Danio rerio: one gene and its partners. The protein of the gene in region 1 purifies or fractionates together with the protein of each later gene. This does not show direct contact. Links are inferred from orthologs where the notes say so. Each region holds a gene or a part of one and is shown in the gene's direction. Other genes may lie near its edges.

Evidence for each region. The genes of interacting proteins can lie anywhere in the genome.
Region 2: the proteins of fosab (region 1) and cop1 purify together in Homo sapiens (affinity purification with mass spectrometry; 4 studies listed by BioGRID and IntAct, counting the BioPlex papers as one, with this or other methods). This does not show direct contact. The link is inferred for Danio rerio from reciprocal best matches to the Homo sapiens genes FOS and COP1.
Region 3: the proteins of fosab (region 1) and ep300b purify together in Homo sapiens (affinity purification with western blotting; 3 studies listed by BioGRID and IntAct, with this or other methods). This does not show direct contact. The link is inferred for Danio rerio from reciprocal best matches to the Homo sapiens genes FOS and EP300.

The regions. Positions count from the first base shown.
Region 1 is NC_133195.1:49,906,116-49,910,207, reverse strand, and holds fosab (v-fos FBJ murine osteosarcoma viral oncogene homolog Ab), read left to right. Parts: upstream 1-1,478; 5' UTR 1,479-1,589; coding exon 1,590-1,694; intron 1,695-1,921; coding exon 1,922-2,131; intron 2,132-2,246; coding exon 2,247-2,354; intron 2,355-2,443; coding exon 2,444-3,070; 3' UTR 3,071-3,592; downstream 3,593-4,092. UniProt on the Homo sapiens protein: Nuclear phosphoprotein which forms a tight but non-covalently linked complex with the JUN/AP-1 transcription factor. In the heterodimer, FOS and JUN/AP-1 basic regions each seems to interact with symmetrical DNA half sites.
Region 2 is NC_133177.1:38,101,960-38,105,459, forward strand, and holds part of cop1 (E3 ubiquitin-protein ligase COP1), read left to right. Parts: intron 1-1,905; coding exon 1,906-1,987; intron 1,988-2,089; coding exon 2,090-2,206; intron 2,207-2,286; coding exon 2,287-2,404; intron 2,405-3,173; coding exon 3,174-3,298; intron 3,299-3,500. UniProt on the Homo sapiens protein: E3 ubiquitin-protein ligase that mediates ubiquitination and subsequent proteasomal degradation of target proteins.
Region 3 is NC_133178.1:23,789,361-23,792,860, reverse strand, and holds part of ep300b (histone acetyltransferase p300), read left to right. Parts: intron 1-3,054; coding exon 3,055-3,219; intron 3,220-3,500. UniProt on the Homo sapiens protein: Functions as a histone acetyltransferase and regulates transcription via chromatin remodeling. Acetylates all four core histones in nucleosomes. Histone acetylation gives an epigenetic tag for transcriptional activation.

The DNA.
Region 1 (4,092 bases):
TGCTAAATGAACTAGAGAACTGGCGCAGTGTAAATTCTTCACATTTACAGACAAACATTTCATGTTAAACATCTAGAAAAGGGTTAAAGGTGTCGGATGTGGAAGTCAAAAGCATTTATTGTGTTTATACCAAAACTATTTTCGACTATAAAACGTTGCAATTTAGTTTTTTGCTACCCGTAAAGTATACACAATCAAAGCGGCGTGTTTATTTACCGGCAATACACAAAGCAGACTCTCGCTGCTGAAAGGTGAAACTTCAGAGTTCATTTGCACAGGCTCGTGTTGCAGTGACGACAGTGGGAGGGGCGTCGCTTAGACAACGCGGAAGATCAAACAAAACACGAGCAGAGAAGTGGATCAGTGACGTCACATGGGAACGCTGATAGAGCTGTTTTCGCTTGTTAATCAATAACAAACCTCATGTTTGCCCGTAGCCAACGGCAGACAAGTAATAAACGAAGACTTTTATACATGATAAACGTATAAATACGGACAATTAATGATGAGCAATACAAAAATGGTCCCTAAATAAACATGATTGAACTGATGTAGATGATTTTAATACATAATATAGTGATTCATATATTTTATTAAATATACTATAACGTATATATTGAAAAATGTATTGAATATAGCAGATTTAACACATTTAGACTACTACAAATCTTGCATTATTATTATTTACTGTGATGCAATAGGCTGAGGAAATAAATGAGCTCAGCATTTTGTTACAAAGGAATCCCTCGTTAACCGTGTGAAGGCAGTTCACACTGGAAATACGTGGTTTATGAGTCGACACGCCCTTTATACACCCAAAGGTACGAACACAGCCCGGGGCATGAAAGACTTTGAATACTTCTGCACAGAAATGATGAAATCTAGGACAACAGGTGCCATGTAAACACAGCATGGACGTGATATGTACTTAAAAAGACATATTCAATTTTGATCAAATGATTGTGTCAAGAAAATAATATAAAGTCATTAAATCAAGTTCATAAACTATAATAAAAATACATTTAGAGCTGATATAATAAGTATATTCTGTTAAATGCTGTTTTTATTTATTTATTTACTTGTAAAACATTGAAATCTTCTCGAACTATCTTTACATAATGCTGCTCACTTGCACAGAGTATTTCCCATAAGCACTCCGCCTCTTCAGGATGTTTTCCATATAAGTTAAATGACGTCTTGGGATACCCTGCTACGGAACATCGTCTCTTTCACTCCGTTTCACCCAGAAATAACAACATGCGAATGTTTTTAAAGATAAAATCTTACGTATTAAGCGTGTATTCTTGCATTATTAATGTTTCGATAATGTATTCAGTAAAATGCGCTCGCGAAGACGTGTTTTTAACGTTTCTATGCAAACACTGAACGCACATGGCCACGCCCCTCCCTTTGACGTCAGGCACAGATCTGGATATAAACCCCGCGAGCGCTGTGGAGCGGCAGTCAAACTTTGGATACCAAAACAGAGAAAAGAGCAGCAGACGAGCAAGGAAATACAAGACCGGAGCGTTTTTAACTTTCTGGATATATTAGCGCTGGATAGCTCGTGCTTTTCGACTTTTGACAGGATGATGTTTACCAGCCTTAACGCCGACTGCGACGCGTCTTCCCGGTGCAGCACGGCTTCACCGAGCGGCGACAGCGTCGGGTATTACCCGCTCAACCAGACTCAGGTATTTACATGACAGCAATATATTTAGAATGATCATTTCAGATAAATCATGATTTAAGTCAGTTTATTTATGTTTTTAAAGTATATTATGTTCTGTATTATGTTATAATCTGAATGAAACCCCATAAACAGTAATATAAACAAATAAATTGTATATATATTAGTTTTGTGACTAATCAAAATATATTGTTTATCATATAATAAACGATTTCATATTCTATATTTCAGGAGTTCACGGATCTGAGTGTCTCAAGTGCCTCTTTCGTGCCAACTGTCACGGCGATCTCTTCATGCCCGGACTTGCAGTGGATGGTCCAGCCCATGATCTCCTCTGTGGCGCCCTCCAACGGCGCAGCTCAATCCTACAACCCGAGCTCTTACCCCAAAATGAGGGTTACTGGAGCAAAGACCTCCAACAAGAGAAGCAGATCTGAACAGGTAAATAATTTGCAATTAACTTTTGTTTTAAAATCAACTGACAAACAACTGACAATCTACATTTTGAATGTTAATTTGCCAATGCTAAAACACCCTTATTTTTGTGCTTCTGCAGCTTTCTCCAGAAGAAGAAGAGAAGAAAAGAGTACGTCGTGAACGAAACAAGATGGCTGCTGCGAAATGCCGCAACCGTCGACGTGAACTCACCGATACACTGCAAGCTGTAAGTATTCTGCATTTTCCCTCCAAATCCCATTCTAGCTCGTTCCATCCATGACATCATTAAACTAACCCTTTGATGTTCCACAACAGGAAACTGACCAGCTTGAGGATGAAAAATCCGCCCTGCAGAACGACATCGCCAACCTGCTCAAAGAAAAAGAGAGGTTAGAGTTCATCCTCGCCGCACACAAACCCATCTGCAAGATCCCGGCCGACGCCAGCTTCCCAGAGCCGTCCTCCTCTCCCATGGGCTCCATCTCAGTCCCAGAGATCGTCACTACCTCAGTGGTCTCTTCCACACCAAACACATCAATCACGACCTCTTCCAGCAGCCTGCTGTTCTCCAGCACGGCCTCCACCGACAGCTTCAGCTCCACCACAGTGAAGATCTCTGATCTGGAGCCCACTCTAGAGGAGTCTCTGGAGCTCCTGGCTAAAGCGGAGCTGGAAACGGCTCGCTCGGTTCCAGACATGGACCTGTCCAACTCTCTGTACACTCAAGACTGGGAGCCGCTCTACACGCCGGCTAACACTGACCTGGAGCCGCTTTGCACACCCGTCGTCACCTGCACTCCAGCCTGCACCACCTACACGTCTTCCTTCATGTTCACCTACCCAGAAAACGACGTCTTCCCGACATCAGTGCATCGCAGGGGCAGCAGCAGCAACGATCAGTCGTCCGACTCCTTGAATTCCCCAACCCTCCTCACTCTTTGAGATTCCACTAAAGACTATTAGTATTTATATCTGTGACTTGATTTCGAATGGCATTGCAGGGCTATGGAAGTGACTCTAAAGCAATGGATATTGCTTCCTATATTTATCTGAACCATACATGCCTGCCACATGTAGCAAGATAAGCATGGATCAACTGATTTTATTTGCATTAATGATCTGGTTAGTGTTGAGTTAACCTAATATAGTTATTTTTCTGAGTTTACCGGTGCTAGATTTGTTGTATTTAGTGTGTTCTGAGCAATAGAGAACTATCATGTTATTTTTTTTCGGCCGTTTAACGGTTGATTTCTGAACGTGTGAATGTTGTTTACTCAAATGTGTGCTGCCTAACCATTGCATTAAATGGTCTGACGTCCAAGTATGAAGTTTTCTGTGAAAACGTAGTCTCTCTTTTAATTTATGGAGTTTTTATTTTTGTACTGAAATGTGAACTTGCGAATTGTTTGCAAAAAACAAACAAAAAAAACTAGACACAATAAATATTAAATGTATAAACTAAAAGATTTGTGTGAATGCGAGCTTATTGTGTGGCTTGAAAATACAGTTTACAGCAGTGTTTCCCAACCATGTTCCTGAAGGACAACCAACACTGCACATTTGTTGCTAGATCAAATACGGTTGAGGATGGAAGTTAACTAAGTAGACTGAGAAGGCTGTTATCGTCCATCCACATGGTTAATCATCTATAGATCACATATGGTTGCGGCCGGATGTTAGCGAGATTTATATTATTTATTAAATTTCCTATTAATTGTATTCTATTAACGGCTTCCCCCACCCCAACTATCACAGTAATGTAAAAACAGTCGATGTATGGAGTATTACTTATGCTATCTGTTAAAATAATTCATTCATTTTCTTGTCGGCTTAGCCCCTTTATTAATTTGGGGTCGCCACAGCGGAATGAACCGCCAACTTATCCAGCACGTTTTTATGCAGCGAATGCCCTTCCAGCTGCAACCCATTCCTGGGAAAGCTATCTATTAAATTACCCAATACAT
Region 2 (3,500 bases), on another chromosome or scaffold:
AATTTACCAACATTACTGAGGCAAATCATTTTAATAGTCATAGACAAAAATATTTAAACAAAATATCCCATCTCTTTATAGTAAAATAAACATACGTTTTTTTACTCGTAAGCTTGGTAGATAAAATGGTACACAGTGTGTGTAAAATTGTGAAGTTGAATGACTACATTACCACTATGCAAAAATTTTTCAGATGGGGTGCTAGTAGCTGGGATGAACAAGAAAAGAAACCAAAAGGCCTCTCCGGCGAAAATGACAATGGTGTTCGGTCAACAGTCATTGATAGCGATTTTAACGCCCAGCCAAATTCTGAATATTTTTCTCTATAATTTTCACAGAGTATCTACAGAGTCTTTAAAAGACAAATTTCAAGATCAAAATTTTAGGTCTTAAAGTAATTTACTGAAATATTGTGTTGTAGGTCTTAAATCTTTTTAAACCAGGTATTAATTTTCCTTTGTCCATTTATAGCTACCCAATCACCAATAACCAATGTCAATTAAACTTTAAACTTTATTTCAAAAGGTTACTTTTAACTCTATTCACCGTTTAGGTTTCTTACAATAACAATTGTTTACAAGTGCGTTAAAAGGACAGATTGTTGTGCATAGATGTAGTTTATTATATATTTTTTAACTTTTAACTTTTACATTTTTATGCTATATTGATCTAAGAGCCCATGATACAGCAGAAATGTGTAAACATGAGATTCTAAAAGTGTGTGTTAATATTAGAGATGTACCAAATTTTTGGCTGAAAATGTTATGCCATTTAATGGACCTTCTAATTTTTGTGGCTTCAGTGATTGTAGGGGTTCTCTTTTAAATCTGGAAACATTGACAACTTGCATCAAATCTATATGATTATTGTTCAATATGGAAAATAATTATCGAGTTTGCATTTTTGTCATATCGCCCAGACCTAGTTTAAAGGGTATTAGAATAACCAAAACAACCTTTCAGATATTTTACAATGCAAAGACTTTTTTAATGCGCAAACTGAATTTGTTTGGTAAAAGTGTTTTTTCCATCATAGTTTACGCACATCTTTTCTTTTCGGATAAAAAGTTTCTCTTACTTTGTTATGCACGTACGCATTTCCAAAATTGATGCGCATCTTGGCATTTCCATCAACAGTTTTTTATGTACATTTCCAATTGTCTTCAAGTCTTACAACTGACTTAATGAAATGTGCAGAAGCCATGCTTTTAGAGGACAGCTGATGTAATTATGTGGTTTAAATTACATGCATACAAAATTAAATAATTGTTTGTTTCCCATTCAAATATTATAGATCTGTCAAATATTTTAAATGTTATAAACAGTTTTGTTGCTTAATATTGCATGGATACAGTCAGTCCTTTTTAACAGATAAAAATAACATGCATATAATAGCTTTAAAATAATTATTAGATGTATAAATACAGGCTGTTTTGTACATCGTGTACAGAAAAAAGACAGGTTTATTGTGTTTTTGTTTTAATTAATTGGAGTGATTATTGAGGAGTATATTTTGTGTTTGTCTGTCATATATTTTTACCATTATTTACAGAGGATAAAATTATAATTCAATGAAATAATAGTTTATATGCCATCTTCCCTCTCAGCCATATTTAAAACAGAAATTACTTTATCAAAAAGACTCTATTTAGGGGTCATAATTAGCCCCAAAGTAGTAATTACATGTAATTGAAAAATGTAATGCTCTGTCAATCCATGTTTTACTAATTTTTCTGCAGGTGGTTTTTAATCAATTAAAATATAATAATAGCATTTAGTATGATCCCTAAGTCAGAATATAAGAACAGGTCAGAATAATGCCTCGTCTTTGACACATAATATAATTTGCGAAACATTTATACTTAATCTATGTTAGACTCTGATTTGCTGGTTGGATTTTTCATAGGAGCATGAAAAGCGGTGTTGGAGTGTCGATTTCAACCTTATGGATCCCAAGCTCTTAGCGTCGGGATCAGATGACGCAAAAGGTATTCCCGCAACCGAACCGTTCCTATCAAGTTATTTGATTTATAGTTCTTACGAAGATATTCTTTTATAAATACTCATGAATGCAACTCGCTTCTCCCCAGTCAAGTTATGGTCCACCAACCTGGACAATTCAGTAGCCAGCATTGAAGCCAAGGCCAATGTATGCTGTGTTAAGTTCAGTCCAACCTCTCGATATCATCTTGCCTTCGGTTGTGCAGGTACATAATTCATTTTAATCTATTAAAAGTTTGGCTTCCTGCAGAAGTCTTTTTAAAACTTTGTTTTAAATCTTTTACAGACCACTGTGTGCACTACTATGACCTGAGGAACACTAAGCAGCCCATCATGGTTTTCAAAGGCCACAGGAAAGCAGTATCCTATGCCAAGTTTGTCAATGGAGAAGAAATTGTCTCTGCGTATGTATACACTCAAAGTCCTTGTGTTTTTTTTTTTTTTCCTTTATCAGTAGAAATAATTTGAGGACAAAAGTCAGTGGAAGAAGTTAAGGGTAGATCTGTCTCTATTTTTTGTTGTACTATATATATTGCAGCAAGATATATTGCTTTTTAAGACCATTTTATGCCACTCGTTATATAATAAGAGTATAATAGCATCACAATGCTATTATACTCTTCCGAAAAACACATAATATTTTATTCTTAAGAATATTTTAACAATTTAAAAATTGGGTATTGTAATCAATATAGGAAAACGCATATCCAAAATTATAATGTTAGCTAATAGTGCAAGGTAAAAAGTAACACAGGCTAAAATATCTATATATATATAATATTATATATAATATAATATAGTCTAGTACCAGATCTATTTTCAGTTGTCAAACATCCACAAGAAAATACACTAATTTATAGTAAATACTATAGTGTTTTTTTTTTACCATAATGACACTGCCAGCTTCAGTAGAGATGTTGCACAATCAGCTAAAATTTTGCTAGAATTGGTTTTTATGTATGGGCTATAGTGCTTCACCAAAAATGTAGAAAATAAAATAAAATAAATTAAAATAAATAAAAAAATAAAATAAAAAAATATAAAGATATATTTAATGTGAGTGATCATTCATGGCTTATAAGTATTGTGTTGAAAGTATAATTACAAACTAAATTTTAGAGTCTTGATTTTAAACTGAGATCAGAGTTAAATTGTGATACACTGTGTTCACAGCTCAACAGACAGCCAGCTGAAACTCTGGAACGTGAACAAGCCTCATTGTTTACGCTCTTTCAAAGGCCACATCAATGAGAAGAACTTTGTGGGTTTGGCATCAAATGGAGACTATGTAGCATGTGGTGAGTGGCATGATATGACATTAATTAAACAACAGAAAGGTTTGCTTTTGGCATTTTGGTTTATAATCAAAGCTATGATAATGCGATATATAAAGTCAAGGCTGGAATTATTCAAACCCCTGGCAAATTCTCACAAAGTTTTTGTTCAAATGTTTATAAAAGCCACAATAATGCATCTTGTACACAGTCTTATTATCTTTTA
Region 3 (3,500 bases), on another chromosome or scaffold:
ATGAGCTGAAAACCATAACATAGACTAATTGTGATATTCTACTACTGCTGTTGTCTGTTGATTTTAAATATGGAGTCTCTCACTCTAATCCCACCATTTAATTTAAGCTAATTTAATTTAGAGCCAGTACTTCTGTCCCTCGAAAATTCAGTCTTTCGTAGAGTGAGGGGTATTATCCTTTTTAAGGCATTTAATGTAAAATTTTTTGATACCTTGGAGGACTAGGGGTGCATGATTTTTTTCCATCAGCTGCTTCTGTACCTGCCATTGCACGAGGGGCTTTCTATCTTGTCGTCATGCTTCTCAGTCACTTGAGCAGCCCAACTAATCTGCTATGCCATTCATTGACAATCAATTTCATTGTTGATTTTACCCATAGTTGTATATCAGATAATGTAATTAATAATTATTATGAGGTATGTAATTGTAGTTAATATCAGGGCTCTTTCGGCACTTCCCTAGGTTTTTCTTTAGATTTAGGCTTTCCTTCCTTCCTTCTTTCCTTCCTTCTTTTTTTTTACTACATACTTATACAGTACTGCCAATTTAACTTATAACTAATTCAATTCACCTGTACTGCATGTCTTTGGACGGTGGTGGAAAACGGAGCACCCAGAGGAAATCCTCACGAACATGGGGAGAACATGCAAACTCCACACAGAAATGCCAACTGACCCAGCTGGGGGTTGAATCAGTGACCTTCATGCTGTGAGGCGATCGTGCTACCGACTCCGCCACCATGACACCCATGTTTGGGATCATTATCAGTATTTTAAGTAAAGCCCTTTCCAGAATTGTACTTATCAGGACTCACAAGTCCATCAGTTAAGACATTATTCTGAACATCACTGGCTGAAACGTAGCCCCAAATCAGGATAGAACACCTACTGTGTTTCGCTAAAGACTGCAAACACTCATTCTTTTGCCTCTTTCCTTTGTCTTTAACATGTAGTAAACAATTGGACCTGATTTCATGGGCATGACCTTTAATGACATCCGGATTGAGATCTGTAGAGTTTATTATGGATTTGGCCTATCCTTTGCAACTATAACAGCTTCAACTCTCCTGGGAAGGCTTTCCACAATTCTTCTGGAGTATGTTGTTTGGGAATTTTTGATCTGGATTGTGGTCTCCCCTTTAATTCATCCCAAAGGTGTTCTGTCAGGTCAAGGTCAGAACTCTAAAGGTCAGTCAAGTTCTTCCACACTGAACTCACTCATGGAGAGTAGGAGCATGAAATGTTCCAAAATGTCTTGGTATGCTGAAGCATTAAGAGTTCTTTACAATGGAAATAAGGGGCTATGACCAACCCCTGCAAACAACCTCTCACCGTAATCCTACCTCCACCAAACTTGGCACAATGCTATAAGGCCAGTATCGTTCTACTGGAAACTGCCAAAGCCAGACTCATCCATTGGATCGCCAGACAGAGAAGTGTGAAACCATCTACATTGTTCTTGAGTCCAGTGGCAGTGTGCTTTACACCATTGCCTTTTCTTGCTTTGCAATGAAGTTGGTGATGTTAGGTTTGGATGCAGCTGCTCAGCCTTAGAAACCGATTCCATGAAGCTCTCTACGCCTGTCCTTGAGCTAATAACTATAGATGTTGACTACAGAAAGTAGGCGACTTCTGTGCACTGTGTGCTTCAGCATACACTACGCATCCTCTTTGTTTTTTTTGTGGCCTACCACTTCATAACCAAGTTGTCGTTGTTTCCAATTTCTTTCGCTTTGTTATACTGCTAACAGTTATTCTTGGAATGAACAGTAGTAAGGAAATTACAACAATGGACTTTTTGCACAGATGTCCACCTATAACATGAGTTCACAGAGCACCTGAGAGCCACCCATTATTTCGCAAATGTTTGTTGATGCAGTCTACAAGCCAAGTCCACAACAAAATGGCCTATTTTGCCCACTACTGCTAATAAATTCTTATAAGTACAAGGTATTGTGAAGTGTTTCGGTGAATTAATTACTGGTGAAATTTCACTTTACCTAATAATAATAATCATAATAAGAAAAATAATAAGAATAAGAATAATAACTGTAGAGGACAATGATTCTTGAGGGCCAAAGGATTCTAAAGGATCATTAAATGCATAGTTACAAAAGACTGTTGTTTTTTTCTTGAAGAGCAGGCCATTCAATGTTCTTTCCAAACTTCCTATTTCAAAACTATTTATATGCAGTCAAAAGTACAATGAGAAAATTCCTGTCACACACCTATCTTTTCTATGAAACCAGACTTTATTGTTTAGTTGCTTTGAATATAGCTTGATACTAAATGTTAAAGGTCAAACATAAAAGTTTTTAGTATTTATTGGTATTAAATAAATAAATTAAAAACCAGGTTTTCTTATTTTCACACTTTAGAACTTAACAGAACTAATAAAAGACGTGTGTAGTTGTAGAATGTTAGGTTTTAAAACTAAACTAAAACGTTCAGCTGTTGTTTCAATACACAGTTCTTATTAGTGATCATCTCATAACAGAGCTGAAACCCAACCCTTTGTTTATTTTTTTGTCAAGCAAGACCATTCTCTAAATCAGGTAGTGAAATAGACGATTGAAATGAATGCGTAGCCATCTTGTGGTGTTTCTTTGGTTTGGACGAGACAGTCAGTAATATGAATCTTCACACTGAAACAATCTCAGTTTAAAAAACCTTGTCTTTTGCCTCATACAAGGAACTACGCACCATTTTGTTGATTCACAGGCGATTGCACAACCTGGACTGCAGGAAATGGGCAGAAAAAAGATGGAATGACATTTTCTATTTTGTTTGCTTGGTCTTTCTAGATTTTAAGCAGCTGTTTGAGGTTTATTTTGGGGAATTGATACTACTGTGTCACTAACATTACAGAAATGAGGCTTAATTAAAAGTTTTGGAAATAAGCATTAAACAAACCTAGTGATGGAAGCTTGTTTTGCTGTTAATATTCCTTCAACTGTTTTTTCATCATCATATTAATGGATCAAACTGAAAATATAAAGATTGGAATCGTAGCTCATAATTTTTTCTCCTGTTTTTTTTCTTTCCTCTGTCTCAGATGGGGATGATGGGTGCTCCAGGCCCGTATGGCGGTTCATATGGTCAGTGCGGAGGACAGTCTCAACTTGGGCCTCAACTCCAAAACAAAGCGGGTCAACCAAACAGCATTAACCAGTTTAATATGGACAAGAAACCTCAGCTTGGGCAGAACATGGGTGGCATGGTAAGAAAACTGTAAAGAAAATGTGTCATTCACTACCTGACAAAAGTATTATTCAAGTTTTAACGAACAACAAATAATCGCTTGACTTCTATTTGATCATTTGGTATCAGAAGTGGCTAATATGAAAGGCAAAGGCCTCTAGATTATGATTCTTTTGCAAAAATAAACTGTATCATGCCTTGATTTTTTAAATTATTTAATTAGGACAGTAAGGTCTGACTTAACTTAGACAATAGTTTTGTCACTTAACAGAAATAATGCACAGTTTTATAATATAAAGT